Regions from separate parts of the Mus musculus genome. Here all the other regions are reported to be linked to region 1. The links are microRNA targets in miRTarBase. Many come from high-throughput screens and were not tested one by one. Region 1 holds a microRNA gene; each other region holds the end of a gene's coding sequence.

What was found. The annotated mature microRNA mmu-miR-101b-3p reads GUACAGUACUGUGAUAGCU and lies in region 1 at 4,881-4,899, shown strand. An mRNA with a match to its seed (bases 2 to 7 or 8) in the 3' UTR can be bound and repressed. Matches are read on the target gene's strand: a 7mer-m8 pairs with bases 2 to 8, a 7mer-A1 pairs with bases 2 to 7 and ends in A, and an 8mer does both.
Region 2: the mRNA of Prkaa1 is a reported target of mmu-miR-101b-3p. Seed matches in the 3' UTR shown: 7mer-m8 at 2,558-2,564 and 7mer-A1 at 2,132-2,138.
Region 3: miRTarBase lists Map7d1 as a target of mmu-miR-101b-3p. Seed matches in the 3' UTR shown: 8mer at 4,708-4,715 and 7mer-A1 at 4,613-4,619.
Region 4: miRTarBase lists Bnip5 as a target of mmu-miR-101b-3p. Seed matches in the 3' UTR shown: 8mer at 4,253-4,260.

Annotation. Positions count from the first base shown.
Region 1 is chr19:29,130,458-29,138,536 of GRCm38, forward strand. It overlaps Mir101b (microRNA 101b), which reads left to right and starts at 4,822; the gene lies at 4,822-4,918. It overlaps Rcl1 (RNA terminal phosphate cyclase-like 1), which reads left to right. Exons shown (of 9, transcript NM_021525.2): 7 at 193-349; 8 at 3,943-4,046.
Region 2 is chr15:5,175,845-5,183,923 of GRCm38, reverse strand. It overlaps Prkaa1 (protein kinase, AMP-activated, alpha 1 catalytic subunit), which reads right to left. Exons shown (of 9, transcript NM_001013367.3): 7 at 6,952-7,438; 8 at 6,719-6,845; 9 at 2,025-5,236. The coding sequence ends at 4,992. Among named protein-coding and RNA genes, the nearest start is that of Ttc33, 5.7 kb to the left of the region's middle.
Region 3 is chr4:126,227,708-126,235,786 of GRCm38, forward strand. Map7d1 (MAP7 domain containing 1) reads right to left here. Exons shown (of 18, transcript NM_001347198.1): 10 at 7,060-7,388; 11 at 6,616-6,811; 12 at 6,391-6,529; 13 at 6,186-6,290; 14 at 5,886-5,939; 15 at 5,658-5,700; 16 at 5,469-5,559; 17 at 5,161-5,354; 18 at 4,460-5,059. The coding sequence ends at 5,049. Among named protein-coding and RNA genes, the nearest start is that of Map7d1, 25 kb to the right of the region's middle.
Region 4 is chr17:28,893,068-28,901,146 of GRCm38, reverse strand. It overlaps Bnip5 (BCL2 interacting protein 5), which reads left to right. Exons shown (of 12, transcript NM_172450.3): 10 at 1-16; 11 at 1,401-1,664; 12 at 2,224-4,752. The coding sequence ends at 2,259. Among named protein-coding and RNA genes, the nearest start is that of 1700030A11Rik, 8.2 kb to the left of the region's middle.

The sequences.
Region 1 (8,079 bases):
TGTGATTGTTAGGTACTGTGAGAGTCTTTGTAAAGTGCAGAGAGGGAGGAAGCAAGGGCATGCAAACTTCCTCTCGCCTTGGTTCTTCTTAGTGTTCCTCGGAGTCTACTCCTCTAATGAAGAACACATCTGTCTTCGCTGTGTGCCCCGTGTGTGCCTTTGCTTACTGGGTGTCCGCCCTTGCATCTCTAGGTCTCCAGGCTTTGGGCTGTCGCTGGTTGCAGAGACTACCAACGGTACCTTCCTGAGTGCGGAACTGGCCTCCAATCCCCAGGGCCAGGGAGCAGCAGTGCTTCCCGAGGACCTCGGCAGGAACTGTGCAAAGCTGCTACTTGAAGAGATCTACAGGGTATGTCCCCTGGCTCTGCAGGCGCAGAGAAAGGAACAGTCAGGAAAAGACGATCGGATGTCTTTCCTTCTGTACTCCTTTCTGGGCACTTGAGCTAAAGAGCTCGCCTGTGTTCGAGTATCAAGCAGTTTAGAATTAACTAGTTGAATGGGTTCATTGAACTAGTCCATGAACAAGTCTGCTCTACTGGGACACAGAAGATATAGCTTTTCATGGGGACGGAGGAGAGGAGGGAGTGAGGGTTCAAAATAAAGCAACCAGGGAAGGCTAAGATGATGGCTGGCGCACTGGCCTGACCAAAAGGAGTGTCCCCCACTTCTACCACCACCCCTCTTTCATCTGCCTCTGTCTGTCTCTGTCCCTCCCTCCCTCCCTCTCTCTCACTCTCTCTCTCTCACACACACACATACACACACACACACACACACACACACACACACACCTCTCCCCATCTGTTTTGATTTTTCTGTGTGTTTGCCTGCATGAATATATGTGCACCACATACATACTTGGTGCCTGGGAAGGCCAGAAGAGGTTGTCAGATCCCCTGCAGTACGTGGCTACGAGCCAGTCTGTGAGTGCTGTGGTGAATCTGAGTGCTCTTCGTGAGCAGCAAGTGGGCTTAACTCCAAGCCATTTCTTTAGTCCCAGGACTACAGCCTCTCAGCTGCCCCAGCTGCTGCTCTGTGGAGATAGGGACTCACCTTCAGATTTATCAAGGTAGAAATCTGGATTTGTGTGTGGATAGAGTTGTGCCGTTTATTCTAGGGCATTGAAGACTGTTTGGGGAAGGCCAGACTGTCACAGCGTGGTGGAGGCTCTGGGAAGTGTGAGAACTTGGCATTGTTAAAGATAGACTTTAGCCAGTTACTACGTGTGTCTGTGGTTGTGTGGGTAGGATGCAGGTCAGGCAGGTGACCTGACTTCTTCATGGCTACAAACTGTTGATCACATGTGCAGCAGGCACAAAAGTGAGCACACACTTGACTTTCCCACGGCTGAGGTGTCTGACAGGAAGGAGGAGATCGTGAGGGAAGAGAAGATGCTGGCAAGAGGAAAGTGTGTTCCTAAGCGAGCCCATTATGGATACAGTTCCTGCACAGTTGAAGACTGCTTACAATTGTAGTCTGCTCCCCTGTCCAAGCTGATCCAAGCCGGCCTTGAACCCTGCGCACTAGTCATGTGATGAACGTCATCATTCTACCTAATTAAAGATAGGAGCCCCTCCTGATACAGCTGAAGAGCAAGGCGTAGCCATTGTGCTTGCTGCTAGGAGCAGTGGAGCCAGGGAGTGAGACCTCCTTTAGGACACGGCCTGTCAGTAATCTTGTGTAGCCCAGGTCTGGTGCAGGGTTTTTGGTGCCACATCAGTTTATTTTTAATGACAGATCTAGCGCTGGTTTTGAGAGATAGGTGGTAGTTAGACGTCTGTGGGTAGAAGGATAAAGCCATTGATTCACCAGTTACTTAATTCATAGAGTTTTATAACATTTCCCATCTCTGTGTTGTCAGGTAGAAGGGTACAGTGGTAACTGTCTGCCTCTGAGATTCTCGTTGGCTTGTGTAGGTCTCCACCTGACCTTGTGGGCTGCTGTGTCCTCTCTCCAACTATGGGGACACTTACGTCCCTTTCTAGGAGACCATGGGAGAACGGCAGACACCATGACCCAGAGGAGTTCAGCAGGAGCCCATGGGCACAGCTGGCATTTGGGTTTCCCACCAGTCACGGGAGGAAAACCTGTGTTAGATTAATTGAGGTCTTTTAAAAACTATTATTGTTCCTCAAGCAAGTTTGCTTTGTTTTAGTCATTAAGAAAACTTCCTGTTAGTGTCTAGTCCTTAATTACTAAAAGGCTGAAACACTTCATGCTATTTTGACTAATTCTCTGTAGGTCTGTGGTGTGACATGGAAGCATAAGACCCTCATATATATATATAGAGAGAGAGAGAGTGAGTCTCTGACCCAGTTCCTTCTGCTCAGGGGTTTCCGTGTACCAGTTTCTGCTCATGGGTTACCATGTACCAGGGGTTCTGTCCTGCTGTCTTTCCACCTCTCCTCACCTCACACTCGAGTGGGAGCCGCTCTTGTCTTCAGCGGGAGATTCTTTGCACATCCTCTTCAACCTCCCTCTCATTTCCTTCCATACCTGGACTCAGTCTCCTTCTGCCCATTTGCAGAGCCCTGCACTGGCTCCTCACCCTCTATAGAATATAGAATAGAGCCTGGCGCTTTCCCAGTGCCTGTGAGCCGTACCCCTCCACTGCTCCTGTCTTCTTTCCAAGGCCCCTCAGCCACTTCAAGAGCCTGCTCCCAAAGCCGGCCTCAGCTGTGCCACCACTTGTAGCCCCCGCTCCCTCCACCATGTCCTGTACATGGACCGTGACATATTTACTGCATTAAAATGTCCCTCCAGTACCTAGTACAAGTCATCTGAGGACGGTGCAGTAGTGGCTCGGTGCAGGGAGCAGGAGAGGACAACAGCTTACTTTTAGGACTGTAGGAAAAATAAACAAGAGCTGTGAGACAATTGGTTTGGTTGGTCAGATTTCCTGTTTGTATGGAAAAGCAGCTTTTATCCTAAAGTTTGATGAATAAAATGAAAAAAATGTTTCTTGTTGTTTACTAACTTTAGAGGGATAGATTTTCATAAAGGCTTACTAAATCAAGAGTGACAGCCTGAGGGTGTTTACAGCTGCGGATCGCTTTACTCCCTGCCCTGGGTGCCTTTGAAAAGGAAGGAGGTCCCCTGTAAGCATCTTCAGCTGACTGCCTGTTATACTCAGAGTCTAGCCTTGGACAGCAGTGAGCCATGCTCACAAACTTAAGTTTTCAGATATGTAAGATGGGTAAAAACTTTATGACATCCTACTTGTACTCTGTAAAGTTGTATATGTGTTGACATTGTTACCCTAGAAAGAATAATGAGGAATAAAGGCCTCTTCTTTAAAGACATGGTTGGAAATAAAGAATGAAAAAAGGAAGCAAACGAAACAGTTGTGCTTCAGGAGGAAAATTTTGAAGAAAACTGTTTTGCTTATGCTTGGAAGACAAAAAAGAAGGAAAGAAAACTTGGGGTGGGATAATGTCTTTGTAATAAGAACAAGCAGTCTGACTGTGGCACTTTGTGGTGTTAGGTCGCATGGGAAGAGGTAAGACGCACTTAGGAACATCTGGAGTTGTTTCAGAGCAAGATGGGCTGAGTGCAGGGAGACCTGTAAGAGCTACTCACTCTCTGTGTGTGCCCCACTGCTCGGAGCCTCACCAGATCCTTATAGGTCGTCTGCTCGGGAGCAACTGTACCTCTCCTAGAGCGAAGGAAATGCCCCAATTTGGAAGGGAGGGCTCACTGTTTTCCCCAGTAGATCTTGGGAACGTGACTTTCAGCTGTTACTCGGGTTAGCTGTTAGTTTAGTCTCGATGGTTGTAGATGAATCTTCCTCGGGAGGCCATGTTCTGTCTGTCGCTGCTTGACCTTCAGTTCACTGTCTGAGGGTCTGGTGTTCTGAGGGCTTGTGTCCTCCTCTCTCCCTGCGTGTTTGTTACCCTTTCTGGTTTGTACTATGATTAATCATCAGCGTGTTTGTGTTTACAGGGTGGATGCGTAGACTCGACCAACCAAAGTCTAGTTCTGCTGCTCATGACCCTTGGACAGCAGGACGTTTCCAAAGTCCTGCTGGGACCACTCTCACCCTACACGTAAGCTGTTTCCCTTTGTCCTCGCTCATGTGTTCTGTTTGTACAGAGTGACCCGGATGTGCCGTGTGTAGCCTGTGACCACAGCATTGTCCCTGCTTGTACTGATCTCTAACCAGCCAGCAGTGGCCACTATTAACCTGATGGTTTTCTTCACACGTGGGTTCGGGCCTTGCCTTCTTCCCAGTACACCTGCTGTCCCCATGTTCTCTGAGCTCTCAGGCACGCTGGGTGGCTCTCGTGGCTCTGCTTTGTGATTTGTTTCTATCCTGGAGACAAACATGGAGCTGGAAGCTTCTCCATCCTCATTTTCCTGCTGGCATCCTTTTTCCTTTTAAAAACTTTTATTTATTCACTTTACACCCCGTTCACCCGCTGCCTTTCTTATTTGTGGTCAATGGTTATTTTCTAATAGCATTCCGTATTAGCTGGCTAGAAGAGCCAAAGAGAGGCAAAATTCCTAGGGATGCTATTAGACCAGTTGGGAGTTACAGAGATGCGTTTGGGCAGCTGGATACTAACATCTAGGATATAAAAACATGCACACTCCAAGAACAGTAGCTAGTTGGAAACTTGAATTACAGAGCGCCAAGCTCAAGAGGAGTTTCTAGTCAGGGATAAATGAGCAGGTTTGGAAACAGGCTCACGTGTATGCGTGAGTGTTGGAGTGTGGGGGTGTGCATGTATGAGCGTGTACTCATGTATACACACTTACACGCTCACAGACTTAAGCTAGCTGTTTGGTCAGCGAGGGGTGGTAAGTGGGAGGGGCAGGTAGATCTGAGACTGAACTGCCCTTTTTCGGTTATCATGGTACCGATGCTGTAGCTCTGAAAGGTACAGTACTGTGATAGCTGAAGAATGGCGGTGCCATCACGTTGAGGGGAGGCGCCTGAAGGATTCTTTTACTTTTTAGAGTTGGCAGTGGGAGGTTTTTGGAACAGAAGATGAAAGGGAATATACTCTCTTAGCAGCAGGGGACACTGATAAGCAGGAAGGACCCCAAGAGCCACACGTTACCTCCTGATAAGCTCTGTAAAGGGTTTCACAGGACAGGAAACCTAGACTTGAGCAATCCTAATGGCAGGCCACCTGCAGAAGTCCACACTGCTCAAACAGATTGTCACTGGAGCGTTCTGGGGGGAGGTGGCAGCAAGCACAGCTCCCTAGGTGCGGGATCCCATCAGTTCCTGGAAGCAACTGGTGGTGAGTGACCATCTTGGGCCAGGTTGGCTTTTTTGTGGTCAGTGCTGTGTCCAGCTTCTGCTCTGGGGCAGCAGAGGATCCATGGCTCTCCTGGAGTCTGTAAAAACCACTGTCTCCAAATGTGTGTGGCCCAGAGTTTGGGCCTCGGCAGAACAGCATGTGACCATGGAATATATGTTTTTATCTTTTTTTTTTTTTTAAGTTAGTTTTAGAGAGTCTTTCACTTCCAACTCTGGGGCCTTGAATAATCTTTTAATGTCTGTAGCCTTTTGGAATGCGACTGTCCTTCACCACATAATCCTTTTGGTTTCCTTTCTTCATCCAGAAACCTAAGATTACCGCGTCTCCTGGGAGACTGTAGTCTGCTCCGAGTGGAGCTTTAAAAGTAGTCCAGATGGGACTATTCTGTGCCTTGAGATTTGGGTCTGAGGCTTGGACACATGCTCCTTGCCCCAGGGCTTAGTGTACCCCACCTCCTCTGCCACACACACCCCGCCTGCCCCAAGCAAGCACAGATGGGAATTGTGTTCAGCAAAGTCTGTGATGGGGACCCCTTTGCCCTTAATCTTGTGGAAGGCTCCAGTATCTCAGAAGATGGAGGGTGAGCATAGGCCCTGACAGGTACAATTGACATCTTATCTGCGAATGGGACAGGCACCAGGATGGGGCAGGGGGAGTATCATGTGCATATTCTTGTGCTATTCACGTCATAGAGACACAGATTTTTGGACCTCACTTTCCTTGAGGAAAGCAAGAATATTCTTGGTGTGAAGAAGGCATGTGCATGCCTCTGGCAGTTGGCATGAGTTTGCTTTGTGTGAATGGCATCTCGGGTACCATTTTTCTGGAGTGCCAGGATTAAGAAGTTTTCTCTCCCTGTTGCTATAGGAGGTTGCTGCTTCGGCTCCTCTGTACTAGTTGAGGAAATAAGTCTATATGTGTGACCTTTTTGAGACCAGACAATTTTTCTCAGTTGAATAAATAATATTGGATGCCATAGACACAAGAAGAGAACCTCTCTTTGTTTTAAATTTGAGTATTGTTGGCTTACAGTTTTAACCCTGGAAGCTTAATTTTACATTGTAGTGAGGAATTATTTTATTTACAAGTTGAAGTAACATAAAAAAATATATCATACATTATTATATATATTAGTATATAGAGAGATGTATCAAATATCTTTATGTATCGAGATACACAATATATATATTACACATATAATATATATCTATCATCAGGCCCTTAGAATGCTCAGAAATCCTGACAGATTAGTGTTCCAAGCTTCGCTTTCTGCCTGTGCATAGGCCTTGGTGTCCAACCTGTCAGTACTTACGCTCTGTCGATGCTGCAGTGCCACCAGGGGAGGCTGAGTTGAGCATTTGTGAGTCTTTGTTGATGACATGGATGGTGAGGTGCTTAGCAGCATTCAAGGCACTATATCTGAGGAACTCACATCCTGCCTTGTGGCCCCTCACCTCATCCCAGCCCATCCCCCATCGTGTCTCTTTGAGCTCCAGAAGGTGAACTTCCACAGAGTGATCTCAGGCCCGAGGCCTGCTGCACACTGGCTGGTGTGCATCTGTGTGCAGTGCTTGTAAAATGTACGACCAGCTTCCAGCCACATTCCTTAACAACTGTACGCTCCCACCTATACTTCCGCAGAGCGGTGTAGGTAGTGTTTGTTTAACAGCAGGCATGCACTGTATCTGCCGTGAGCAGGACAATATTGTTTGATTTTTGGTTTTGTTTTTTTTTTTTTCTGTTTGGTGCTAGCAATCAAATCCAGGCCCTTATGTGTTGCTTAGCCAACCGAGTGCTCTACTACTGAGCTAGATAGCCTCAATCCCCAGATAATCTTTTTTTCAGATTATAATAGAATTGCATCATTTCCCCTTACCCTTTCCTCATTCCAAACTCTTCATATATCCTGCCTTGCTCTCTTTCAAATTCATAGGCTCTCTTTTTTTAATGATTGTTGTTACTTACATACATACATACATACATACATACATACATACATACATGTTCTGTAATACATCAATGCAGCTTGTATGAATATTTTCAGGGGTTGACCATTGGTAACCATTTGATGTGCCCTTCCCTGGAAGAAGCTGTCTCCCCTGCTCTTCCTAGCAGTCCTTAGCTGCCTCTGGTTATTTGTATAGTGTTCAGGCCTCGTGGACTTCCCACCTGCTTCCAGTTTAGCATGTCTGTCACTATGCCTGTCCAGCTCATGTTTAGGTGTCATGTTGGTGAAACATATGGATGTAGCCTCCAACATTCGAGTCACAATCTCACAGCAAACTCACTGATTCTTTTTCACTTAAAAATCATCCCACCCCCACCACCTTCCAAAATGTTCTTTGAGCCTTAGGTATGGGAATTATAGGCATATTTATCTGTTGGGGCTGGGCTCTACACCTCTGCATTTTGATTGGCTGTAGTTTTCTGTGATGATCTCTATCTGTTGCAAAGAGAAGTTTCCTTGATGCGTGAGGACCACACTTAGCTGTGGTATAAGAGCAACTATTTAGAGTGTAGTTAGGGATTATGCTGGTTGTAGGTTCTCCAAGATCCATGAGTTCATGAGTCCTGGACATTTGTCTGGGTTTTCAGCATGAGGCTGATGCCCCTTTTGTTGAACTTTCCGTTCATTTTAAATCTTTTAACTCCTGTGGTTTCCAGCATAACCCTCTGTGAGTGAAAATGTAGGTGCAGTTGTGTGCCTCATCTTAACTGATAAGACATGTCACTTGCCAGGGTCACACAAAAGCGGGGGCTGGGGGGATGGAACAGGTTCATTGGAGATATTGCTTCTCTGACTGCTTTT
Region 2 (8,079 bases), not on the chromosome of region 1:
GGTGCTGGCTGTTAAAACGCCACAGTGATAGAGCAGCTACGTGGATTTGAGGTAATGATGCAAACTCTAATGGTAGTGATAGAGTCCTCTGTCACGCCGTTACAGTGAAACTCTGGAACACAAGTTTCTCCTGAGATGAGACCTAGCTATGTCACCTAGCAAGAGTCCCAATTTCCAGACTCACTTTAATAAGCCAAGTATCACTGCTTCGTCAAGGGCATTTCTAAACGATGGCATTCATATTTCTATGATACCAAGTGCTTTTACTGCTACGGAAGTGTGATGCCTCTCAAAAGCGAGTGAAGATTCCACCATGAGGGCTGGACAGAGAGTCCAGAAGTTAAGTGCACTGGCTCCTGCTCTTCCAGAGGACCAAAGTTCAGTTCCCAACACCAGCATCTGGCAGCTCACAGCCTCTGTGTAATTACAGCTCTGGGAGTTTCCAACCCCACGTTCTGGCCTCTGCAAGTGGCTGCACATACATAAGAATCAAATCAATTATTTTCTCTCTCTCTCTCTCTCTCTCTCTCTCTGTGAGTACACTGTAGCTGTCTTCAGACACACCAGAAAAGAGCATCAGATCCCTTTACAAATGGCTGTATGCTACCAAGTGGTTGCTGGGAATTGAACTCAGGGCCTCCGGAAGAGCAGTCAGTGCCATCTCTCCAGACCCAATAAACCCAGTTCTTTAAGGCTATTATAAAGTTCCACTATCTTGTGGAACACAACTGTTTTTTGTTTTTTTTTTTTAACCGCTGACAAACTGATTATATTCATATTTAGGTCTTTGACCTTTTCTTGAAATGAATAAAGCAAGGGGCTTGTGAAATGGCTCAGCAAGTAAGGATGCTTGCTGCTCAGCCTTGTGACATGAGTTATGTCTGCAGAGCGTACTCGTTGGAAAGACAGTTGTCATCTGGGCTCCGTACATGTGCTATGACATGCAAACACACATACACACACAAATTTTCTCACTTAAAAAGTTGACAATGTCTGTTCCAATGACAAAACTGTACTCCTTATATAATAATCTTGACAGCTTCCCAGTGTGTCTAGACTTTGAGATCAATGGTAACTTCAGATACAATTTTTATTTATAATTTGATTATATTCATTAATGTTGTCAAGTAAGTTGGTATATTCACTATAACCAATGTATTACTGTGGTAGTCAGCCTATAAAAGAACTTCAGTGTTTCCTGCTCTTGGTGCTCACAGCTCTGTGAAGGTCTTTCCATGTCAGAGTTGGCCTGTGGCACCTCACGCTCATATTAATCGTAATAGACAGTCTGGTGGATGCACTGTTCCTCAGTCTGGATGGAGGTTCACGTGGTCACATTCCCAACAACTCAGTCCATCCTTACATGTTTGTACTTTAGTGTCTATATCTATCTCCATCCATCCCTAATAAGATGGTTGGCGCAGGACCTGTATCTTGCTGTCCTGGTGACATCTGTCATGAATGGTTCACAGTGGCCATATGGATGAATACACAGTGCTTGAGGCTCTGTTCCTCTTCCCAGTCTCTCAGGGTAGCTTAACCATGATGCCCTCAACTCTAGTAAAGACTTGGCCATGTCTTCCAAGTCAGTGAACAGCCTCTAAATATTTGGCACCATTGATTGGCATTTACAACAACCCGAAGCTTACTCATTCAGAACAGGACAGTTTAATGGATGCAAGTTTCCACATGCCAGTTTCTTGTGTAAACTTGTAATGAAGATCTAGAAAAATTAGCTCTCCAAAAGAACTTCACATGCTGTTCATAACATCTAAAATGAAGCTTTTCTGATTTAGAAAGCTAGCAATCCTGCAAAAGCCTCAAGAACGCTGAGTTTCTAGATTGAATAGTAACTGAATTCTAGCAAGGATGGAATTCAAGGCCTGTGTTTGTGATTGGTCTGTGACAGCTGCTTCAGCATTTACTGTCTGCATCGTAATATTTCAGTACCTGAACGAGCCCCGATACTCAACGATGAACAAGTGCACCCCACCCCAAACCTTGATGAAATAAGAAATACTGTGTAACAAATGAAAAACGAACTTTTTTCTTTATTATGCCATCTTTCTAAATCAGGTTACTCTGGGCAAACATACATAAGCCACAATGGTGGACTCCTCCCAACAACGGCTTACAGTCAGGCTGTGTGTGGCATTCCATTCATCATGTCAGAGCCCACAATGAACAGGCAGAGGGAGGAGTTAAGGAGAAGAATTTATGGTTTTCTTTCCCAAGATGCCCCTTGGGGTACATATCTTTACACACCCAGCCACATGAGTTTATTTGTGAATGGTATCAAAGATCCAAAGGATGGGGCAAGGTAGGGAGAGAATTCATATAAAATTATCTAAAACTCCCAAACACTATAAAAGCATCTTAAGAAAAAAATAGAATCAAAGTAAAAGCAATGGTGTTTATTTCAGTGAAATTATTTTAAATTAGATATATTAAGCTCTTGCGTCTCCCGACTTGGTAGAAAAGTTCCTTTCATGAGAAATCAACTTTAATGGCAAAATTTTTACATATCAGCAAAATCTGTTATATTTAAAACTATGTATACAGTACTTTTCTGTCAAAAACATCACACAGCTTTCAGTTGTCAAGACAAAGTAAAAATATGGTTGCATAAAATCACAAGAAAATATAAATTGCTGAAAAGATAATAAAAAAAAGATTAAAAATCATTTGCATTGACTCCCTTTACATTTTCAGTGTAAGAATTTGCAAACTACAATACATTTGTGAAAATCCTGTCCTGGGCTTGACATACTTAACTGAAAGTTGTCATTTCAGATATCCTAGCTTTTAAAAAATTTGACTGCAATAGTCTGCATTTATCATACTATTTATACAAGTGCAATATTTTAATGTCTTCAAAATAAAACTCGGTAACTAAAAGGAATCACAGAATAACTTATAAAAGAAGCAAAGATTACAAAATTAACAAATTTTAGAAGGTCCTATTTAGTTGGCTCCTCCTTTTGTGCCCCGTCCCCCCAACAGTTTATAGAGATATTCCTCAGTTTTATTTACAAATCTATAACTTTACAAATGCAGCCTTCTGTTCTACACAGCGGGAATACAGCGCTGCATTCAGACAGCATACGTGACATCAGGGAGCCCCACACAGAGGGCACAAACACACAGGTATAAATACAGTCAGGAACTCAGGTAAATGGAGTCTCCATTACTTTATACAGCATTCAATTCGGAGTTGAATAAAACAAGCCCCGAACAAAAAGAAGCATCATTTTTGTCCGGAAATCAGTGCATAAACTATAGCGTCATCTTTTATGCAAGCTATCATGTCCTCCAAATGCGTTCTTACATAAGTGCTGGACAGGTTTGGGGATGGGGCAAAATATTTTTAAATGAATGCAGTGGGGGGAAAAGTCTCTCTTACAAAGGGGGGATGGTTAATGTTTAAAGAAAATGCATTTTGTTTCACGTTGCTGGAGATGACCCAGCCTCACCACTGGGCTAGAGCCTCTGACCAATTTCCTAAACTTAAAGGAAACCAAATATGGCCAATATGACATTAATTATTAGCTCACACAATACCGGCTTTGTCTAGCGTGACTTAAATCTTCACTTACACCCATTATGCTATGCTACCACTAAAAGGAGAGAGGCATATAAATCAGAGATTGAAGAAAAATCACACTTCTTTAGCCACTCATTATTTTGAATTAAAACCTGAAATAAACTTGGCCAGTTTGAAGAAAGGATTTCTTCTACATCTTTTCAAAATAGTGTTATTAACCTGATTAAAGAACTGCAAATAAAATCAGGCTGTAACTTAAATGGAATTCTGGGCAGTTACAGCTAATCTGGAAAACCAGGCACTATCTGGAAATTATTGATTTTATAATGGTTTCAGAAGGTTTCTAAAGGACATTATTATTATTTTTAGGAAGTGCTGAAGTATTCAGGGCTGGTATATATATATATATATATATACCTTAACATCTCAGTGGTTCAGAATAAAAGCAAACATATACTCGAATATATGTGCATATCTGTATATTATACATGTGTGGATCTAGAGAGCAAATATGGCCAAACAGTAGTTGTAGGAGCTAAGTAGTAAATACACATGCAGTCACTAAATTCTTGCAACTTTTCTTTCTTTAAAAATTGTCCAGAATAAAATCAGGGGCTAAAACCCCAATCCTAGCATTCAGAGCGTATAAACACTGTCCTTTCTATGCACTGGATTGGCTTAGAAAATACCAAAGACATTCAACACTGGCTGACATGATAGCGTCTCTGTGCACTGACAGAAGCAACACGATTCACTACAGTGTGAGCAACTCGGCTCTTGGATCCAAAGCAGCACTTCATATATAAAAGGGCAAACCTGAAAAAGTAAATTCAGGGCTTGGAGGGTCTGAACATATAAATTCTGGGGCTTTGGGGGCTCACAAGCCAAAGAAAAATGTTAAATCCAGACTGCTCTCTGAAATGACTTACTACACAAAAATAGCATGTTAAGAGGAATATGGAAATAGTTCACAATGTAACCAAAAATGGAAACTAGTAGCTATTTTGGAAGTTAAGGAGCCCAGAAAACAGCATTATCTAATAAGGTCTATGAGGATTCCAGGCAACTCAATAAATTCATGAAGCTAATATAAAATACATCAACATGTACTAATATGTGAAGGCTTTATGGTAAATTTATGGTCGACTGAGACCTGTTACAGCAAATTCAAATGGCCAAAAGTCAAGTAAGCTTGAGACCTACAGTCCATTGTGTGTGTGTTACGCTGTGTGTACCTACTGAATACGGGATAACAGAGTGATCCTCATTCAATTCTGCACATCAGGCTTTTAACGATCAATCGTTTTCCAGTCCCTGTGCAAACTGCATTCCAAAAGGCCAATCCTCAGTTATATACACACATATATATAACTTGGTAAGTGGAAGTATTTGGCTATTATTTATTATGCATGCTTATTGCATCAAAGAAATAAGCAAAATTTTAGGTTTACTGTGCAAGAATTTTAATTAGATTTGCACACATTTCAAAAAATTCTATTGTATGACTTCCTGGTCTTGGAGCTACGTCGACAGGGGAGGAGTCGAGGGAGGTGACAGATGAGGTAAGGGAGACGTCTGAGGGCTTTCCTTGAGCTTCGGCATCAGAGTCACTCCTTTGGCAAGATCGATAGTTGCTGATGGATCCCGATCTCTGTGGAGTAGCAGTCCCTGATTTGGCTTCTGTAATCTCATCTGGGTGGAAAGAATTTCAATGTTTTATTATCTATTTCTCCCTCAAGTGTTTAAGCAGCACCTAAGTGAGACTACTAACCAGTTCTCCAAAGCACACTGGTTTTATTTACATTCTCAAATAGAGCAAGCGTGCCTTTGTAAAGCACCTTACCACTTCTACACACAGCACAAAAAATACATACAATGGCCAGTCAACATGGGATACATAGTATAGCACTCTTGACTTTCACACCAACTAAGAAACAGTAAACTAATAACCTGTAAATTAATATCACTGCTAGGAGATATTTATTAAAACCACAGACTCACTGGGTAGTGGCAAGCACACCTTTAGTCCCATCAATTAGGAGGCAAAGACAACTCTGGGAGTTTGAGGCCAGCCTGGTCTACAGAATGAGTTCCAGGACAGCCAGAGCTACACAGAAACCCTGTCTCAAAAACAAAACAAAACAAAAAATACAGAATCGATCACTTGCAGTATGAAAGGTATCTTGGAACTTGTCTCACCTAGGAACCATTTTACAGATATAAAAAGCCAGAAGTTGAGGGACTTGTCCAAGGCACCAAAGGGACAGTTCCCACCTCTCAAGAGCTCGACCCTCCCCACCTCAGATCAGCGCTCTTACCCTGCAGCTTCTCAAACATCACTTAGAGCATAAGCAAAACAAACAAACAAAAACCCTGTATATTTTTAAAGATTTTACAGAACAATAGTCAGGTGATGGTGATTGAAGCCAGTGAAGCAAGAACTTCAATACTGACCTAAATCCCTAGCCCCAATAATCTATAAATCAATATGCTACATGGAGCAAGAATAACAGGTTTCACAAACGTCAGTCTTGCAGAACATAGGAAGTCATGTTTCCTATGAATTAGCAGGAAAAGGCCAGGAAGCTTCCTAAGACATAGCTGAGGTGGAGGGCAGTGAGGAGGATGCCAAGGACGCAGGACATGTATGGCAGCGTGCACTGGGGGGCTGGGGAGAAGGCTCAGTAGATAAGGAGGCCCTGCCGCTGATCCCCAGACCCATGTCAAAGCCAGGCCAGCGAGGGCACGCCCATTACGCCAAAGCTGGAAGTCGGAAATTAAATGATCCCTGGAGCTTGCTGGCCCGTGAGTGTACCCTGAAGGGCAACCACCCGTGTGCAAAGAGACCTTGTCTCCAAAGCAAGATGGAAGGTGAAGGAGGACGGTACCTGACATTGACTTCTGCAGCCTGTCCCATGTGTTCTGAGACACATGCAGAGGGAGGGAGGGAGGGAGGGAGGGAGGGAGGGAGGGAGGGAGGGAGGGAGGGAGGGAGGGAGGGAGGGAGGATAGAAAAGCTAGAGAGAGAGAAGGGAGGAAGGCGCCATATGAAGCTTACTACTTTGCATGCTTAGTTTTTATTCAAAAAAGAAAGAAAGAAAACAAAGACTATAAAGCAAATGAGGTAAGCAGGCTATATAACTACATGACCTCCAGGGTTCTGCGTGTACATACCATCAATACTACGGAAATCCAACAAGTAAGTCCTACTATCCACTTGGTATAGCTGTAGACTCATTTTGGAAAATGTGCTTGTCACAGGATTCTTCCTTCGTACACGCAAATAATAGGGGTTTACAACCTAGCATTGGATATGGACAAAAACAAAGGCACATCATCACATCAGTTCTCCTACAAAGGGCTTTGGCTACAGGCTCACCAAACAGAGAGAGCACTTGCCTTCTTACCTTCCATTCATAATCCAACTGCTTGATTGCTCTACAAACTTCTGCCATGATATCATTGGGTCGGCTTTGACTTCGAATTCCCAAATGCCATTTTGCCTTCCGTACACCTTGGTGTTTGGATTTCTGTGGGTTTAATTCATCCAGGGTGTGCCGGGCCCGTGGTGTTTCGGCAACCAAGAACGGTACTCTTTCAGGGTGAGGCCGAGTTAAATGGTGGTCGTCCAGGAAAGAGTCAGGTGGGCTGGTTGCTAGGTAGAAATCTTTGGCTTCATTCATTATTCTCCTGTTGTCTATGATGAGGTGGTAGGCGACGGCTAGTGGGTCCTGGTGGTTTCTGTTGTACAGGCAGCTGAGGACCTCCTCCTCCGAACACTCGAACTTCTCACACACTTCTTTCAAGGCTTCGTCATCGATCATGGTTGAACTATAAGATGGGTCCTCAGGAAAGAGATACTTCGGAAGGTCCTGTTTAAACCACTCGTGTTCCCTAAGAGAGACAGCAATGGTGGAAGAAGGGTTTTCAGTTAAACCAAGAATAAAAGTAATAGTTTCCAGAGTTTAGGATATGAATGAGTTCATACTCATGCTACATTATTACAGTTGTTCTCTTTAAACTGGTTTCCCCTTCTAGCTCATACTTCATTGAATATGCTGAGAAAAACATTAGTCTACAACCTATTTTTTATTTATATACTTTTATGTGTATGGGTATTTTGTCTGTATGTACAATTTGCACACCAGAAGAAGGCATTGGAACCTACCGTAGATGGGTGTGAGCCACCATGTGGTTGCTGGGAATTGAACTCAGGACCTCTGGAAAAGCAGCCAGTGCTCTTAACAGCCGAGCCATCTCTCTAGTCCCCTGCCACTAATTTTTGAGGATCAAGGCAGCCAAATTTGGTATGTCTACCCAAAGGACAATGACTGAGGACAGTCTTTTTCCAGCCCAGAAAGAAACTATGTTGTGTGGCTTCACTTTTTACACTATTTCATGTTATAGGAAAAGAGCTTACTAACAAAAACAGTGTGCAATATCATCCTATGCATTCTTACTCCATGCTGAGTTTCACGATAAACAATTCATCCATTTAAAATCTACCCTCGTCCTTTCAACCCAGTTCTATGACT
Region 3 (8,079 bases), not on the chromosome of region 1:
CTCCTGAGCTCAAGTTCTGTACAGTTCTCTGTGTGACACTTCTGTGGGTCTCCTTAAGTCCTTTCCACCGTTCCTTGTACACGAATACCAGTGTCTGTGGGATTGGATTGGACCTAGAAGGTTTGGAATTGTCGTTGTCGTTGATCCTTTTTCCATTTCCCATGACCAATGAGCTTTTCTGTGTACTCTGTCCATCTCTTGGTTTCCACCACGCAGTGAGCCAAGTCCCCAGCATCTCGTCACTAGGACCCATTTCTACAGCAAGTTCCACTGCCACTCTTCCTTCAATACCTTTTCCAGGTGACAGTCGTGATAACCTGGTTACATCCCCTACCTGATGAACCTGTCCCAGTAGCTCCCTTACCGCTCCTTTTATTAAATAAGTTATTGTTATTTGTGTGTGCGTTGGGGGTGGGGAGACACACATGGGGAAGTCAGTTGCAACTTTGTAGAGTCTATTCTTTCCCTGTACTTTTAGAGGGGTTCCTGGGTTCACTGATGAGTCATCTTGCTGTCCCCACCTCCTGGGGTTTTGTTTATTACTTTTTTGGTTCTTTAAACAGAGTCTCACTGAATAGTCAGAGCTGGTCTCAAGTTCGCAATTCTTCTGCCTGAATGACTAGTGCTGGGATTGTGGGATCACGGGTATGAACCACCCCACGGTGCTTCCAGTGTGCTTGCAATAAACATTAGATTCCTCGGTGGCAGGGTTCCTGAATGAGCTGGCCCTTCCTATCTCTGTGAGACCCAACCCCCCTCATTTTCTATGGTTCATCTACCCCGGCCCCATTCACTACAGGCCTTTGTAGAGTTGCCTCTACCTGAAACCCCAAACCTTTGCACTAGGAACTCTTGGGGATCTCAGCTCCAGCTCCTTTCTCAGGGATGCCCTGCTTCATCTCCATGACTGGGGTCAGATCTCTTACTCGTTTTTCTAATGCCACACACTTAGCTGCTTCAGGGCTATCAAGGCTGTAATTATGTATTTGTTTGAAATACTGCTTAGTTATTAATGGACCTCTATTAAGGACTACATCAAGTTTTGCCCACTTAAAAACAATCTCCGGGGCAGGTGAGGTGGCTGGGTAGACAAAATGGTGGGGTCCAAACTTAAATGTTTGCAAGATGGGTACTTTGCCAACAGCACCATCTCCCCAGCTCAGTGTATCTGGTTTATTTGGTTTGGTTTTTCCAGACAGGGTTTCTCTGTGCCTTGGCTGTCCTGGAACCCAATTTGTAGACCAGGCTGGCCTTGGATGCATAGAGATCAACCTGTCTCTCCATCCCGACTAAAGATGTGTGCCACCACTGCCCAGTTGCTTTGAGTTTTTTTTAATTTTTTTCCCCAGACATGGTTTTACTGTGTAGCTGTAGTTGGCCGGACTCCCTCTGTAGACCAGGCTAGTCTTGAATTCAGAGGTCCACCTGCTCTGCCTCTGAGTGCTAGAATTAAAGCACACTGGTCCAATAACTTGTTCCTTCAACAATTGACTATATTGGTTACCCACTTTCTCTTCTTCTCCTTTTTTTTTTTTAAGATTTATTTATTTAACACACACACACTGTAGGCTGTACAGATGGTAATGAGCCATCATGTGGTTGCTGGGATTTGAACTCAGGACCTTCTGAAGAGCAGTCAGTGCTCTTAACTGCTGAGCCATTTCTCCAGCCCCCACCCATTTTCTTTTCATCCAGGTCAGGTCTGTGACATTTTTTTTTGTCTGAACCTTGGTGACCCCTTCTTGCCTCCTGGTGTATAATCAACCCCTATTGAGCAGTTTCCCCCCAGAAGTCCAAGAGTATTCTAATGAATCTCTAATCTTATGTCACCATCCCTACTTAACAGCCTTCAGTGGTTCCTGAGTCCTGAGAATAAAAACCTAAGTTTGTAAGCATAGCTTTCCAAGGCCTTACCTATGTGGTTCCCCTCATAGCAAGCGCCTTTTTTTTTTTTTTTTTTTTTTTTTTGAGACAGGGTTTCTCTGTGTAGCCCTGGCTGTCCTGGAACTCACTTTGTAGACCAGGCTGGCCTCGAACTCAGAAATCCGCCTGCCTCTGCCTCCCGAGTGCTGGGATTAAAGGCGTGCGCCACCACGCCCGGCTGCAAGCTCCTTCTTAAGAATTGGGTCTAACTCAACAAATAGAGAGTGCCTCTTCTGCTGGGCAGTGGGTACTGCTTTCATCGGAAAACCCCAGACCGCGTCCATCATGTTTATGCACATATGGATACAGGCACGTAGCTGTTTCCCACACAGCCCTTTGCTTGCCTAGAGAGCCATCTTTCTCCTTTCCACCTTGCTGACCTTGCCAGTCAACACCCAGCCCCCCAGGTGAAAGCCACCTGGCCTAGCTTGCTAACCTGCTGGACTCCTGGGGCACACCCTGCTGCTCCGAGCTCTCACAGCACTGACCCCACGTTGTACTTTCATATTTGTTTGTGTGGTCTGATTAATGTCCACCTCCTGCCGTTTCAGGAAGCTCAGAGCCTCTGGGCTTGGTTTCTGCTTAACCACCTTATCCCTCTGGCACTTAGCAGCTGCTCCACAATTTACTGACTGAACAAATGAATAAATGCTTTCCTAAGCGTACTCAAGAGGACACTGCCTTCCAGGGAGACGCCAGTGGGGGGCTGGGAAGGGCATGTGAAGAACTTCCATTGTGGCCCAGAATGGCTAACCCCTTCCTGGCCTCCCCAGCCGTGCCATGCCTGTGACTTATACCCTGCATCCTGCCCATCTCCCCAGCCCTCTGTAGCTACTCTCTGGAACACTCCTTCAGGCACCCATAAAGCATCTCACATGCTGACTCCTGCTTGAACTTCTCCCTAGGCGGCCATGCCAGCTCTGACCTTTTACGCCTCCTTCCCCAGCTTCCTAAGTGCTAGGATAAAGGCCAGGCCAACAGGCCCACAACTCCTTTTTAGTTTCTCAAAAGGGAAGCAAACTCACATATTTATGTGTCCCCAGACAAGTTAGAAGCTTTGAACCACACTGAAAATTCAGTTTGCATTCATTGGCTTAGACAGTAAGGGAAATCGCTTGGAGGTGGGTTTGCTTTAAAATGTTTTGGCTTTGAATTTATTACTGTGTGCATGGTGTATGTGTGGGCACATGGAGGTCAGAGGGTAACTCTGTAGAGTCAGTTCTCTCCTCCGGCAGCTTGTACTTGTACTGTAAGTACCTTCACCAGCCGGAAATAGGCCTGCTTTAGGTTTTATGGTTGGTTAATTAGGTGGTTGGTGTTCAAAGACTTAGATTTCTGGGACTGCGGCTCAGTGTTACAAGACTTGCCTGACGTGCATGCAAGATGCCCCAGATCCAATCCCCAGTACTGAAAAATGAATGAATGAATGAATGAATGAATGAATGAAAGAGAAAAAACACACTCCCAGCATTGGCAGACTTAGGCTCTCAATGCTGCCATCTTTGCTTTGGCTTTGTTTGCAGGCTGCTTAGTGGGGTGTGAACTAACCTTCAGCTTCACGATGTGAATTTCCATCACAGAAGCGGGGCTTCTCTCATGGTGCTATCATGTGGCAAATAACCACACAAGAGCAATTTAAAGTTTGCCTCACTTTCTAGCTGTTTCTAGCTGCAGGTGGTCCATGAGGTGAGGGTCACACTGTGGGCCAGGCCTAAGGCCATCTGAAGGCTGGACCGAGTCTCATAACTGCTGGCAGAGGCTTCAGTGTCTGGGTAGACAGGTCTCTTAAAAGCACTCTGATTTTTACCCAGCCTGAGTGACTCAAGATCAGGAAGGCAACCAAGACAGAGGCCTTGGCTTAGTGAAACACCATTCTTTCTGCTGTAGTCTATTGGCTACTCCGGCCAACCTAGTTACAGCTCGGGAGGAGACTGCAAGAGTGTGACGACAGGGGATGCCGGAGGGTCACATCAAACCTATCTGTCACATGGGGTTCCTTTACAAAACTCTCGGGAGACTTCTCTTCACACCTGCTGGCTGGAACTGTCACATGCACACATGCAAGCCTATCCATGACCCACAGGGCCATCATTTTTGGGTCACCGAAGTCATAATTCACTGGCCAGAGGTGGGCTAGGTGCCACCTTTGCTAAGGTGAGTTGGTACTGGGAAAGAACTTGGGTACCTGGAGAGGTCAGGGTTGTAGTGAACAGGAATAAGGGGCAGAGGGATGCTGAGCAGAAAGCCCAGCTTCTGTGATGCTCGCTGTCTGGGTAGAAACTCCACACGCACAGAGGCTGTGCCTTTCCCTAGTTCTGTACTTCTAGGTTACGCACAGCAATTAATATCTGTTGAGGAAATAAAGGAAGGAATTCATAACCAAACTAAAAAAACCATAGCACAGGGAGGCCAGGACTGCTACACCAATCAGGGTGTAGCAGCCTCCAGCCCCAGGCTCCTGAAGGTCTCAGAGCTCAGGTCACCTACTTGTACCTCTCTTCCCCCTCCCCCTCCCCCAGATCCAAGGACACGTAGGTTTGGCAGAATTTTTCTCCCTTTATTTCCGGAGAAGTTTGATCAGATGTAATAACACTGATTCCAGGCGAGGACAGGGGGCATCACCCCTGAAGCAACCAGTATTGTGTGGCCCGAGGTGCCCCTCCATTCCCAGACCTGGGTTCCCCCTCGGTTACAGTTAAATAGAGGAAGATCTGCCCAGGGAGACTTGGGAGGGGGGTTCTGCCTCCTGTACCCTACCCGCCTCTTCCACATAGCACAAGCTATTTACAGTATTCACATCCACTGTACCCCAGCAAACCAAGGCAAATACTACAAGTGGTCCTTCCCCAGGGGGAAGACCAGAGAGGCTATGAGTGTGTGTGTGTGTTGTGTATGGGGAAGATGGGTGTCCGAGCGTGTAAGCACACGGATGTACTGAGGGGCAGTCCTGCTTTCAGCCAAAGACATCACCAGTCTGTAAGGTGCGGATTAAAAACAAAGAGGAACTCTGCCCCCAGGGGTCCACCAGGCCACTTCCATCTTTGTTCTGTCTCTTTCTCTTCCAGACACCCACGAGCTGATATGGAGGAACCTTCACAGCTGCACCTCGGTCCAAGGCAATTTGCTTAAAGAACTTCTAAGGGAAGGGAGAGGGATAAAGGTTAGGCCCGGGGAGCCCCAGGCAGGGATGGGTGGGATGCAGCTGGGTGCCAGAACCAGGGTCCCTAGAGTCCCCACCTGTGACCTGTGGAGGCTGCACCACTGCTTTCTTGAGGAAGGCTTCTGCCTCTGCAAATGGGAGGAGCCCCTCTGCTGTGCGACCCAGACTCTTGTCCCCAGCGGTTCCCTTTGGGGAGAAGCCGTTCTCCTGGTGCGCTGGGAGAGGCTGCAGGCCATTTACCAGGGACCCTGGCATCTCCTTGCTTGGCAGGCTGTGGATGTAGGGGTTCAGGGTTAACACCTCACCTCCCTGGGAAGCCCAGAGGAGTCCACAGCTCTAGCCTGCAGCTGCTGGCCTGGGAGTCCCTGGGATTGGGAGCTGGTACCTCCACTGTGGCTCCTGGGGGGCCAGCTCCTCTTTCTGCATAGAATCCTTCTGTAGCCCAGAGGGCCGAGTCTCTACAGCTTTCACAGGGTCTATGGCGGCAAAGAAATGGCCATCAGTTAGGGGATGTTGAAGGGTGGAACTGGAGCACAGGGGTGACCAGGGCAAAGAAAATGCGTGGTGGCTTTACCTGGGCCGGAATTGTTAGCTGCGGTCTCCTTTGCATCCTGCTTCTGGTTTGAAAAGGAAGAGCTATCAGGTGCCAGGGCTATGTGGTCCCGTTGACCTCGGAACTGAATTCCCTTTTGGCCCAGACACAGAAGAGCCTCCCTCACTGTATCCTTCCTCGGCTCTGGAGGCTTCTCTGCAGCCTCCTTTCCTCACCCCAACTCCCGCTCCCCAACCTGAGAATCCTGACCTTGGTTTCGGCGGCTTCTGATTTCCGAGTCCTCTTCATTATCTCCTCCAGCCGCTGTTGGAGGAGGCCCCACATCAGTTAGGCTCAAACCCAGACCTAGTCCTCAACTTCCCACCTGCTGGCCCTATTCTAGAGCTCAGTTCCCTCCCAACCCACACCCGTCCTTCCTTATCCGATCTTCTACAAATCCAAGCCTGGGCCCCACTGGTTCACAGGTACAATTAATTTCCAAGAACTGGAGCTGGAGCCAGGCCCCGCCCCGGCAAGGCCCCGCCCCCAGGTCCCATCTGCCCTGGACACCTTTCTTCGCTCTTGTCTCTCCTGTTCCTCCTTCTGAAAGTGCTTTTCCCGCTCCTGGCGCTGGCGCTCAGCTTCTTCCCGGGACCGGGCTTCGGCTTCCTCTTTCTGCCAAAGGCCTCCATAAGTTTCGGATTCTCTGTTTCAGCCTTCCCTCCCAGGCAAGCCCACCGATTGCCAGCCAAGATCTGCCCGCCCGCCTGGGCACCTGCTTCTGCAGTCGCTCCTGCTCCTCCTGCTCAGCCTGCGCCTTCTCTCGAGCCTCCTGCTCCTCCCGTCTCCGCGCCTCGGCCTCACGTTCAGCCCGGGCTTCAGCCTCCCGGGCCAGCTGCTCCTCTCGCATTCGCCTGGAGGACCCAGGAAACTCAAGTTTGGTCTGCGCCTCTTCTTCAGGCACTCTAGGGACCCTCACAGTCCCCGAGGTCACACTCACTTGTCCCTTTCAGCCTGCAGCTTCCGCTCCTGTTCTTCGCGTTCCCTCTGTTCCCGAGCCTGGCGCCGCTTTTCAGCCAGGAGCCGCGTGGCTTCCTCTCGGTCTGTGGTGCCCGCCATGGGTTTGCTAGGGGTCACCGAGGGAGCAGCGGTAGGAGGGGCAGTCGGAGCAGCTGGGACAGCCGGGACAGCAGTTTCTAGAGGAAGATCCAAGACCAGGAGTTAGTACACACCAGTACAGGCCCCTCCATCAGCCCTGTGCGCCCCCATGCTTTCAGGACTTCAGCTATGCACGCATTCAATTCAATTGTTGCCATTACGGGTGTCGGAGACCTGGGAGGAGGTCCCTCTTCCTGTCCCTTGTGACCAGTGTCTGTTGGCCCACTTCCCGGACATAGGAAAAGCTGGCACATCTCTGCCCTGCCCACCCTCACTTCCTGTGTACCTGCAGGGATCTGTGTTGAGGATTGCTCCTTCTGAGGCTGGGCTGGGGTGGGCGAGGGCACCGGTGAGGGCGCTGGTGAGGCTGGGGCAGCTGGCTCCTTCTCCTCAGCGGCTCTACTCTTGCGGTGGTTTTTGTCCTCAGGCCCCGACGGGCTGGGGCTCTCTTTTGCCTCCTCCTTCCTCCGAACCCGCCCCTTGGGTGATGCAGTGGTGCCTCGGGGGGATGGTGGTTTTGGAGGAAGGGCATGTCCTGGTCCTGGGCTGGGGCAGGGGGAGGCAGGTCTGTGCCAGGTTGTAGAGGGAGAGGATGGCCGGGCCTTGGACTTAGGGCTAAGAGAGAAGAAAAGGGTTAGAAGCAAGGCAGAGCACCTGGGCAGGCACGCCCCTCCCCCAACATGCCACTTCTTTGGGGAAGTGTTCCCTTAAAAAAATATATATATCGTGTGGAGAGTGTAGTGTGCATGTGTGAGCATGCGTGTGAAAGCAACTTCGTGGAAGTGCTTCTTTCTTTCCATCTTTCCATGGATTCCAGGGATTTAACTCAGGGTACAAGGCGTGCACAGCAAAGGTTTGCTTATTGCGCCCTCTCACCGGCCTCAGCCTCCGCATGCTGCCTTCCACATGCAGGCTGGGTTGTATCCCACCTCATCACTCAGTGTTACCACTTCCTCTTGGTGCGTCTATCTCGGCTTGCAATTACAAGTTCACTCCTGAGAGATTTTGATTAACACCTGCCTTCCCCACACACAGCATGTACACTTGGTAGAGCAAACACTAGGCATGGTTTAGCCTACCAGAGTATTTTCAGCACCTAGAGCACCCGGTCAGCTGCTTACTTAGATTCTTGAGTTTTAGGGAAAGTGGGGGTGGGGGTGGGGGGTGGGAGGGGTGGAGGAAGAGGGAGAGAAGAAAAAAGAAAAAGTGAAAGCTAGGGTTTGTGGCTAGCCCAGGCTACACAATTAGTTCAAGGGCATCCAGGGCTACAAAGGAGATCCTGCCTCCTAAAAGCAAAACAAACAAC
Region 4 (8,079 bases), not on the chromosome of region 1:
GGATCTAGGGAGGCAGGTGAGTACCCCTCAAACTCTCCAGGCAGACACGGGAGCTCCCTCCCCTGAGACCTGGGTTCTATCCCTACTTCTGAGTGACCTTGGTCATGTCCCTTGACCTCTCTGAACCTCTTTTGAAAAATAGGGATATTCCTTGTTTGACTAACAGGTGTCTCTACAGAGAGCACTAACACGAGGCTGGTGAAGAGAAGGTTAGCTTGAAATGATAGGATTGCAGGCAGGCTGGGGAGATGCCTCAGCAGGGAGAGTGCGTGTTATGCCTGCCCGCCATGCCCTCCATGCCTGCTTGCCATGCCCGCCCGCCAAGAGCCCGAGTTCAAATCCCAAGCACACATGTAAAAAAGCCAAGCATGGGATCATGTGCCTGTCAGAACACAGAGCTGTATGGGAGGAGACAGGAAGATCGTTGGGGTTTGATGGTGGTTAGCCGACCTCCAGGGTCAATGAGAGTCTGTGTCTCAAGAGAATAAGGCAGAGCCCTAGAGCAAGGATTCTCTGGCCTCTGTATGCACACTTACATGAGTGCAAACATCATATACATATGTGCATGCGTGTACGCACATTTTCTCTCTCTCTCTCTCTCTCTCTCTCTCTCTCTCACACACACACAGAGAGAGAGAGAGAGAGAGAGAGACAGAGACAGAGACAGAGAGAGAGAACCAGAATGTTCTAATTGCTCCAAATCAGGGTCTGCCCCAAGCCAAAGCCAGAGCACCTCCGACCACTCAGATCCTGCCACAAGGTCACCTTTGGTGGGCGCAGCCTTGCCAGCAAGCAGCTTTGCTCGACCCAGTTCTTTGTTCTTTCAAGCAGCCTCCACCCTGGCGGAAGACCTTAGCAGTCCTCCCTAGGAGGCATCCACACATCACTGCCTGGGCCACCTTACCATCCTTGTCCAGGTCCTTATCCCCATCGGTGTGCCCAGGATCTCAAATAAATCTCATGTGTGACCTAAGTCTTTGTCTTTGGGTCTCCCACCTCCCACCTCCTGGAGACCCCAGTTACCATGTCCGGATATGAAGAGAAGTAAATTAGCCGGAAGGACCTTAGTGTGGGGCTGAGAATCTATTGAGTGTTTTTCCTGGCCTCTTGAGTCTATTTCCAACCGTTTTGGAGAGGGGATCTGGTCACCCCCACTTTTCTAGCTGAATGGAGGCTCAAGGCGACGAGTTCCGTGCCATATTGGCTCTCCGTACACACGCGTTGGTTTTTGTTTGTTTTGTTTTGCCCTGCAGCTGCAAGCCATATCTTATAGAAGTGAGGGTAGGGTGGTGGAGGGATTTAATGAAGGGGTGCTCTCCCAGGATGCTAGGGAGCAGACTGGGGCGGGAGTCGGGGAGACCCCGCAGGCTGCAGCACTGACGACTCCACTTCCGTTCTAGATCCGGAAGTACCCCAGCTTCAAGCGTTTTTTTAACGAGTTCTCGGATGCCTCCCTCAGGAAGCTGGTGGCTACCTTAGAGAGACAGAAGGCCAGCCTCTCAGAGGAAGGCCGGAGCCTCGCTAACAGGCCGCCACCCTGTGCCTTTGGCACACTGAACAAGTTTGCGGCCACCCGCAGCTGCACCATCTGCACCCTGATGCAGTCCAGAGGCGAATACAAGGGACACAGTTACGCCCACTTCCTGTCCAGGAAGGCCGAGCAGGTGAGAGCGGGGGTAAGGACGGGTCAGCATAGCCACAGGTCTTCTGACTTTCCTGATACGTGTGCACGGGTGTGTGAGTGTCACGGCGCACGGGTGGAGATCAGAAACAACTCCTGGGAGTTGGTTCTAGGGATGGATGGAAGTCAGCTTGCCAGTCTTACTGGCAAAGACCTTTACCGACTGAGCCATCTATTTGACCCCCCACATCTGATTTTTAGGCTTCAGTTCAAATGCCATCCTCCCCCCTTGCTGCAGTCTTCTGGGACACAAAGACAAGAGCTAAGCTGTAGTCAGCTTCAAAGGACAGGCAACTGAGCCCGGTGTTGCGAGTTGGTCCCAAGGGCCTGCAGGAAGTGGCAGATGCAATTTGAATGATCAGGGCTTTGGAGACTGAGGCTGAAGAACTGAGGACAGCTGTGCCCGATGAAGGGGGAGAGGAGCTGCAAAGTCTAGGGGACCTATCGTGGGTGTGGATTGGCTCGGTAGGGAGCTTGCGGCAGGGTGGGGAGCTTGCTGTCTCTGGCCCTGCTGAGTCTGCCTGTGGCTTTTCCCCTCCCAGGACATCACGAATCTGGATAGCCAGAGTCCGGACTGAAGGCCACATCTCATACACAAGTTCTTTCTGAGTAGCCAATAGTCAGCAGCTTTGGCCCGGAGACCCGGAAGACCCCCATAGGATGGCCCACTTTTGTGATTCCCTGCAGGCAAGAATGGACCATGGACAATTCTCTGTGCGCTCAGCATTGTCTGGGAACACTTTCTTCCGGGAAGTGGGACCCAGAAGCTGTGCTGGGGTCGGCACTGGAATGGGGTTAGGAGGTCAGGCTTCATCGAGTGAACCTGGAGGCTCTCCCCTCTGCATCCCATCCCCCCACCCTCAACTCCCTCATCCCTCATGACTGACATCTGCCAAATCCATGAGTCTTAGCTGGTGTGTGTGTATATATGTCTGCTTATCTGCCTGCCTGCCTGCCCGCCTGTCTGTCTCTGTGTGTCACTGGGTGGAGGGAGGTAGTGTAGGTCAGAGGTCAATCCCCGGTATCCCGCCTCCAGTTCGATCTGCCTTGTTTTTTGAGACTCACCCAAGCAGGTTTGTCTGAGGTTGAGAGTCCAAGGGATCTGCCTGGTTCAGCGCTGACATCACCCAAACTTAGGCCACCACACCCCACCATAAATGAGTCTTCATTTTGAAAAATAGTTTTTAAATTCAGTTTCCAGCTGGAAAACACACATGCATTCAAATAGCTGTAGCTGTGTCTCTGCCACGTCACTCCCGATCTCCCGGGATTAAAGGCATGTGCCACCACCGCCCAGTTAATTATTTTATCGTATTGAGAAAGGTCTCACTCTGTGGCCCAGGTGAGCATCTCTCTACCCCAACCCCACCCTAGTCTCTTGAGTACTGAGACTACAGCTGTGTGCCACCACACCTGGGCTACTTTACATGGTCACAGCTGGGTAGATTTCAGAAAGTCGAAGAGGGCTTCAAGCTGGACTGCCCCAGATGCTGCACAGATGTGCACTGCCCCAAAGCCTCTTGCCCTAAGACATGCAGCCTTCATCCTGTCTGTGCTGGATGGTTGTGTGTCAACTTGACACAAGCTGGAGTTATCACAGAGAAAGGAGCCTCTGTTGAGGAAATGCCTCCATGAGATCCAGCTGTAAGGCATTTTCTCAACTAGTGATCAAGGGGGGAGGGCCCAGCCCAGTGTGGGTGGGGCCATCCTTGGGCTGGTGGTCCTGGGTTCTACAAGAAGGTAGGCTGAGCAAGCCACGGGGAGCAAGCCAGTAAGTAGCCCCGCTCTGTGGTGTCTGCTTCAGCTCCTGCCTCCAGGTTCCTGCCCTGTGTGAGTTCCTGTCCTGACTTCCTTTGGTGATGAACCTCGATTTGGAAGTGTAAGCAGGTTAAACCCTTTCCTCTCAATTTACATTTTGGTCACAGTGTTGGGTTAGAAACCCTGACTAAGACACCATTATCACTGATGGCTGGGACGTGTTTGGCCCTCTTGTGGATGTGTCTATCTGCACAATTGTGAGATGTGGCCAGTGACATAGATACGCATATTCGTCACACGTCCATACCCACACACAGGAGCTGGGGCCATTGACTCCCTGGGCTATTGGCAGGAAAGTGTGACCATGGGGGAGGGTATCAAAGCCTGGGTGGCAGAGTGAGTCTCGTAAGCCTTGGAGACTATTGGTGGCCACAGCAGGCTCATGGCACCTGGGCTGAATGGCTTCATTCATGGCAGCTGAATGGAGGTAGGAAGGCCTGGCTCTCAGGTGGAGGCAGTCTCAAGCGAAGGCATCCTTTCAGGAAGTTCAACTAAAATCCTCCCTTTATTTATTTATTTTTAATTCCATCAAGGTGTCTCTTACTGGCACTTGATCTCCTTATAGATTTATTTTAGGTAGTATTCTTGGGTGTGGCATGGACGTGCAAGAGCCAAAGCTTTGAGTGACTTTTCAAAAGATGGTGTTGTGTGCATTGGTGGGTTATTTTTGTTTGTTTGTTTGTTTGTTTGTTTTTGCCTGCGTGTGTATCTGTGTGTGGGTGTCAGACTCCTGGAATTGGAGTTACAAGAAATTACTGTAATGTGGATGCTGGGAATTGAACCTGGGGCCTCTGGAAGAGCAGTCAATGCCCTCTTATCCACTGAGCCATCTCTCCAGCCCCGGGAACTAAATTTTTGAAACAAGGGTCAGGAGCCTTTTGTACATAGTTTATTTTATTATTAGCAAATCAGTCTTCTACATAGTTCAGGTTAGTTACCACACCCAACTGTACATAGTTTCTTTTATTTATATATAAATTATGTTTTCATTTTAAATTATGTGGGTTGGTATGAGTGCAGTATCCACGGAAGCCAGAAGAGGGTGCTGTATCTCATGGCGCTGGATGGTTGTAAGCTGCCTGCTGGGAACAGGGCTTGTTTTACCACTGAGTGCTCGCTCCAAACCTTGGACATTGTCTCTTATCTGTAAGAACGACTATCCAGGCTGTAGAATATTTGTTATGAGTTCCCGATGCTGGCATCCAAGTCTGGTTTTTATACTGTGTTGTTTGAACCAATAAAGACACTGACTCAAAGTGTGAACCGGATCTTTTCAGGGAAGCTAGGTCATCTTGCTCCACCCAGTGGAGACAAAATGGCTGCCCCCGTGTTCCATCTAGAAGAGACCAGATGGCCGCCACCAGCCCCCATCCAGGACAGTCCGAGCTAGTGGGGCCAGCCTCCCTGTCCCTGTCCTGGGTTCTCTCTGGCTCAACTTTAGAGTGACACCATGCTGACACAGTAATAAAAGGGGTGCTAGGTTGGGTGGTCATGAGCTCAGGGCTTCCCATCCGATCCCAGGCGGGTAATGTCAGAAATGAGATATTGCTGTCCTAACCTGACTCCTGAGGCAGAGAGAGGCTGGGTCAGCCATCGTTCTTTTTGATTACTTGATGAAGCTGGTGTGACTTAGCACAGGTGTGGAGAAAGGGTTTGAGGCCGCTCTCTGCTATGTGTCTGAATGGGAAAAGGACGGCATGGTTGAGGGGACGTTTACTGTAGATATGAATGACAGAGAAGCCAGAGGCATCTGGGAGAGTCCAGACTGCACATGGCTAGCAGACTGACGCAGACCATGAGATGGCGGTGGGAATCCATAGAGGAAGGAGGGGCTGTGGACCAAAAGAGAGGCCACATAGCCAAAATGGCTGGTTATATATACAGGAATGGGAGAATCTGGGGTAAGGGGAAGAAAGCTCTGGCGTTGGAGAGAATGCGGGTAGGGGGGCGGGGCATGCCAGGCAGGACGAGTCTGTAACAGGCACTTGTGAGTATGGACTGAGCCAGAGTCTGCCTTGGTGTGTTAAATAGGCACCTCAGCCATTTGTCCCGGGTTTCTCTGAGACCTCACAATATCCAGTTTGAATTCAGCCTGGGTTGTAAGGGTTCAGCATGTGGGAAGCTACATACGCCATTACAAGATGGCGCTGGCTACCGCTGGCCACCGCCCATAAGTTCGGGTAAACAACCAATGTGCGCATGTGCATAAGGGTTTTGCGCCACGTCACAGCCCATCCTGGGGAATGTAAATGAGACACTGAAACACAACCAATCAAGTATAGGCCACTCCTAGGCCTATACAAGCAGCGCCAGTTCTGGGCTGGGGACTTTTGCCTTCTCTATCAAGCTCTCCCAATAAACGTGTGCAGAATAATCCTGTTGTGGCGTCTTCCTTGCTGGTGAGTCGGGCGTCCACAAGTGGTGCGGAAACCCGGGAACGAAACATCTTCAGGCATGAGCAAAGACCCCCTGTTACAGGGAGGATTCAGAACTGCATCACGGGGAAGGAGTAACGTACGTCTTTGAGAGGTGTGCTTCCCTTTGGAGTAGATCCTTTAACAGTTGCTTGTCTCATTCTAGTCATCTTTATAGTAGTCCTGATTCTGTGCTATTGCCTTAATTGCCATCGTCCAGGGCATGAGTGTGTTTGCTGGGAAGGGAAACTGAAACCAGGCATTTCTGCTTTGAAAACTAATTAGGGCTTGTATACAGGATAAGAAGTGTGAAAAAGAGGGACAAAGACTGTTACAGGAACATCAGGAAAGTATGTCAGAAACAGAGAAAGATGTGAGAGCAGGAGTGCGCAGAAAACAAAAACTAGAAAAGGAAAAGAAGAGTCAAAAGGATAAAGAAAAAAAGGAGACCAAAAAGGGGGGTGGAACGGAGATCAAGCCCATCATTAACTGATCTAGAACAGCTTGAACTTTCGAGCTCAGAAGATTCTGAACTAGCTACAGAGGAGGAGGAGGAGCTAGAAGAGGTTGCTGCAGCTTATGAGTCGGAACGGTATGGCCCGATAGAGTCAGCTCCCAGTGTCCCTCCACCTTCTCCACCTTATTCTAAGAAAACAGGAAGTGATACTGGAAGCAGCCACTCCTTTGGTACTCCAGCAGTACGAAGGAAGTTGAGACAGATGTTTCCGGTGTTTGAGGACCAAAATCAGGGTAGATATTATGAACCCTTGGGGCACAAACAAGTAAAAGATTTAGCAGAGTCGGTGAGGACCTATGGAGTCAATGCATCTTTCACCCAATCTCAGGTAGAAAGGCTCGCTCACACTGCTATGACACCCAATGATTGGATGAGTGTTGTTAAAGCATGCTTAACTATGGGACAATATCTAGATTGGAAATCTATCTGGCATAATGTTAGCGCTAATCAGGCCTGTGCCAATGCAGCAACAGGGCAACTGGCATGGAGTTTCGAAATGCTTACAGGACAAGGACAATGGGCAAATAATCAAGTAGGTTATCCAGTGCAGGTCTATGAAAAATTAATAATACAGCTATAAAGGCATGGAAAGGTCTGCCTAATAGGGGGGAAGTATCAGGAAATTTGACAAAAGTAATTCAAGAAATGAATGAGCCATTTTCAGATTTTGTAGCCCGTATGATGGAGGCAGCCAGAAGAATATTTGGTGATTCTGAAGCAGCTATGCCATTGATAGAACAACTAGTTTATGAGCAATGCACAAAGGAGTGTAGGAATACAATAACACCTTGGAAGGGAAAGGGCCTGCAGATGTGGGTGAAGGCATGCAGAGAGATAGGAGGGCCATTGTCTAATTCAGGTCTAGCCGGAGCTGTATTATCGGCTCAGAGATCAAAAGGAATAACTTGCTACAGTTGTGGACAGACAGGACATATACAAAGACAATGCCCTAGGGATAGAAGGAGTAAACCTGAAAAGAAGGTGCCAGGCATCTGCCCAAAGTGTGGTAAAGGAAAGCATTGGGCTAATGAGTGTAGATCGGTCAAGGACATAAAAGGGAGACTGATACTTCAAAATAATATGCAACAGTCAAAAAACGAGACAGGGGGCCCGCGTCCCCAGGGCCCACAAATGTATGGGGCGTTCCAGACCACAGTGTCTATGAGGCCACCCAAAGACCGAGGAGAACCACTCCGGGTTCAGCAGGATTGGACATCTGTGTCACCTCCAGAGTAATTCTTACACCCCAAATGAGATGCTGGAAGGAAAGGAAAAAAGAAAAGGGTGTGGGAAGCCGTTGCAGAGTGGCAGTTACAGAGTGGCAGTTGCAGAGTGGCAGTTGGCTACTGCTGGCCACCACACATACATAGGCAGTAAAGGTTCTTTTGCCAAGATGAGAGAGAAGTTAACCAATAAGATGTAGGCATGCAAATGAGGTGATTAGCATAACCCAAGCACAACCAATCCGGGTGTGAGTCACGCCTCTCCTAGGCCTATATAAGCAGCACCAGTTCTGGGCTTCGGGTCACTTCGCCTCTGCAATCAAGCTCTCCCAATAAACGTGTGCAGAAGGATCCTGTTGCAGCGTCGTTCTTCCTGGCCAGTCGGGTGCTCGCAAGAAAAGGGAAAGGAAAAGAAAGGACAAGTTA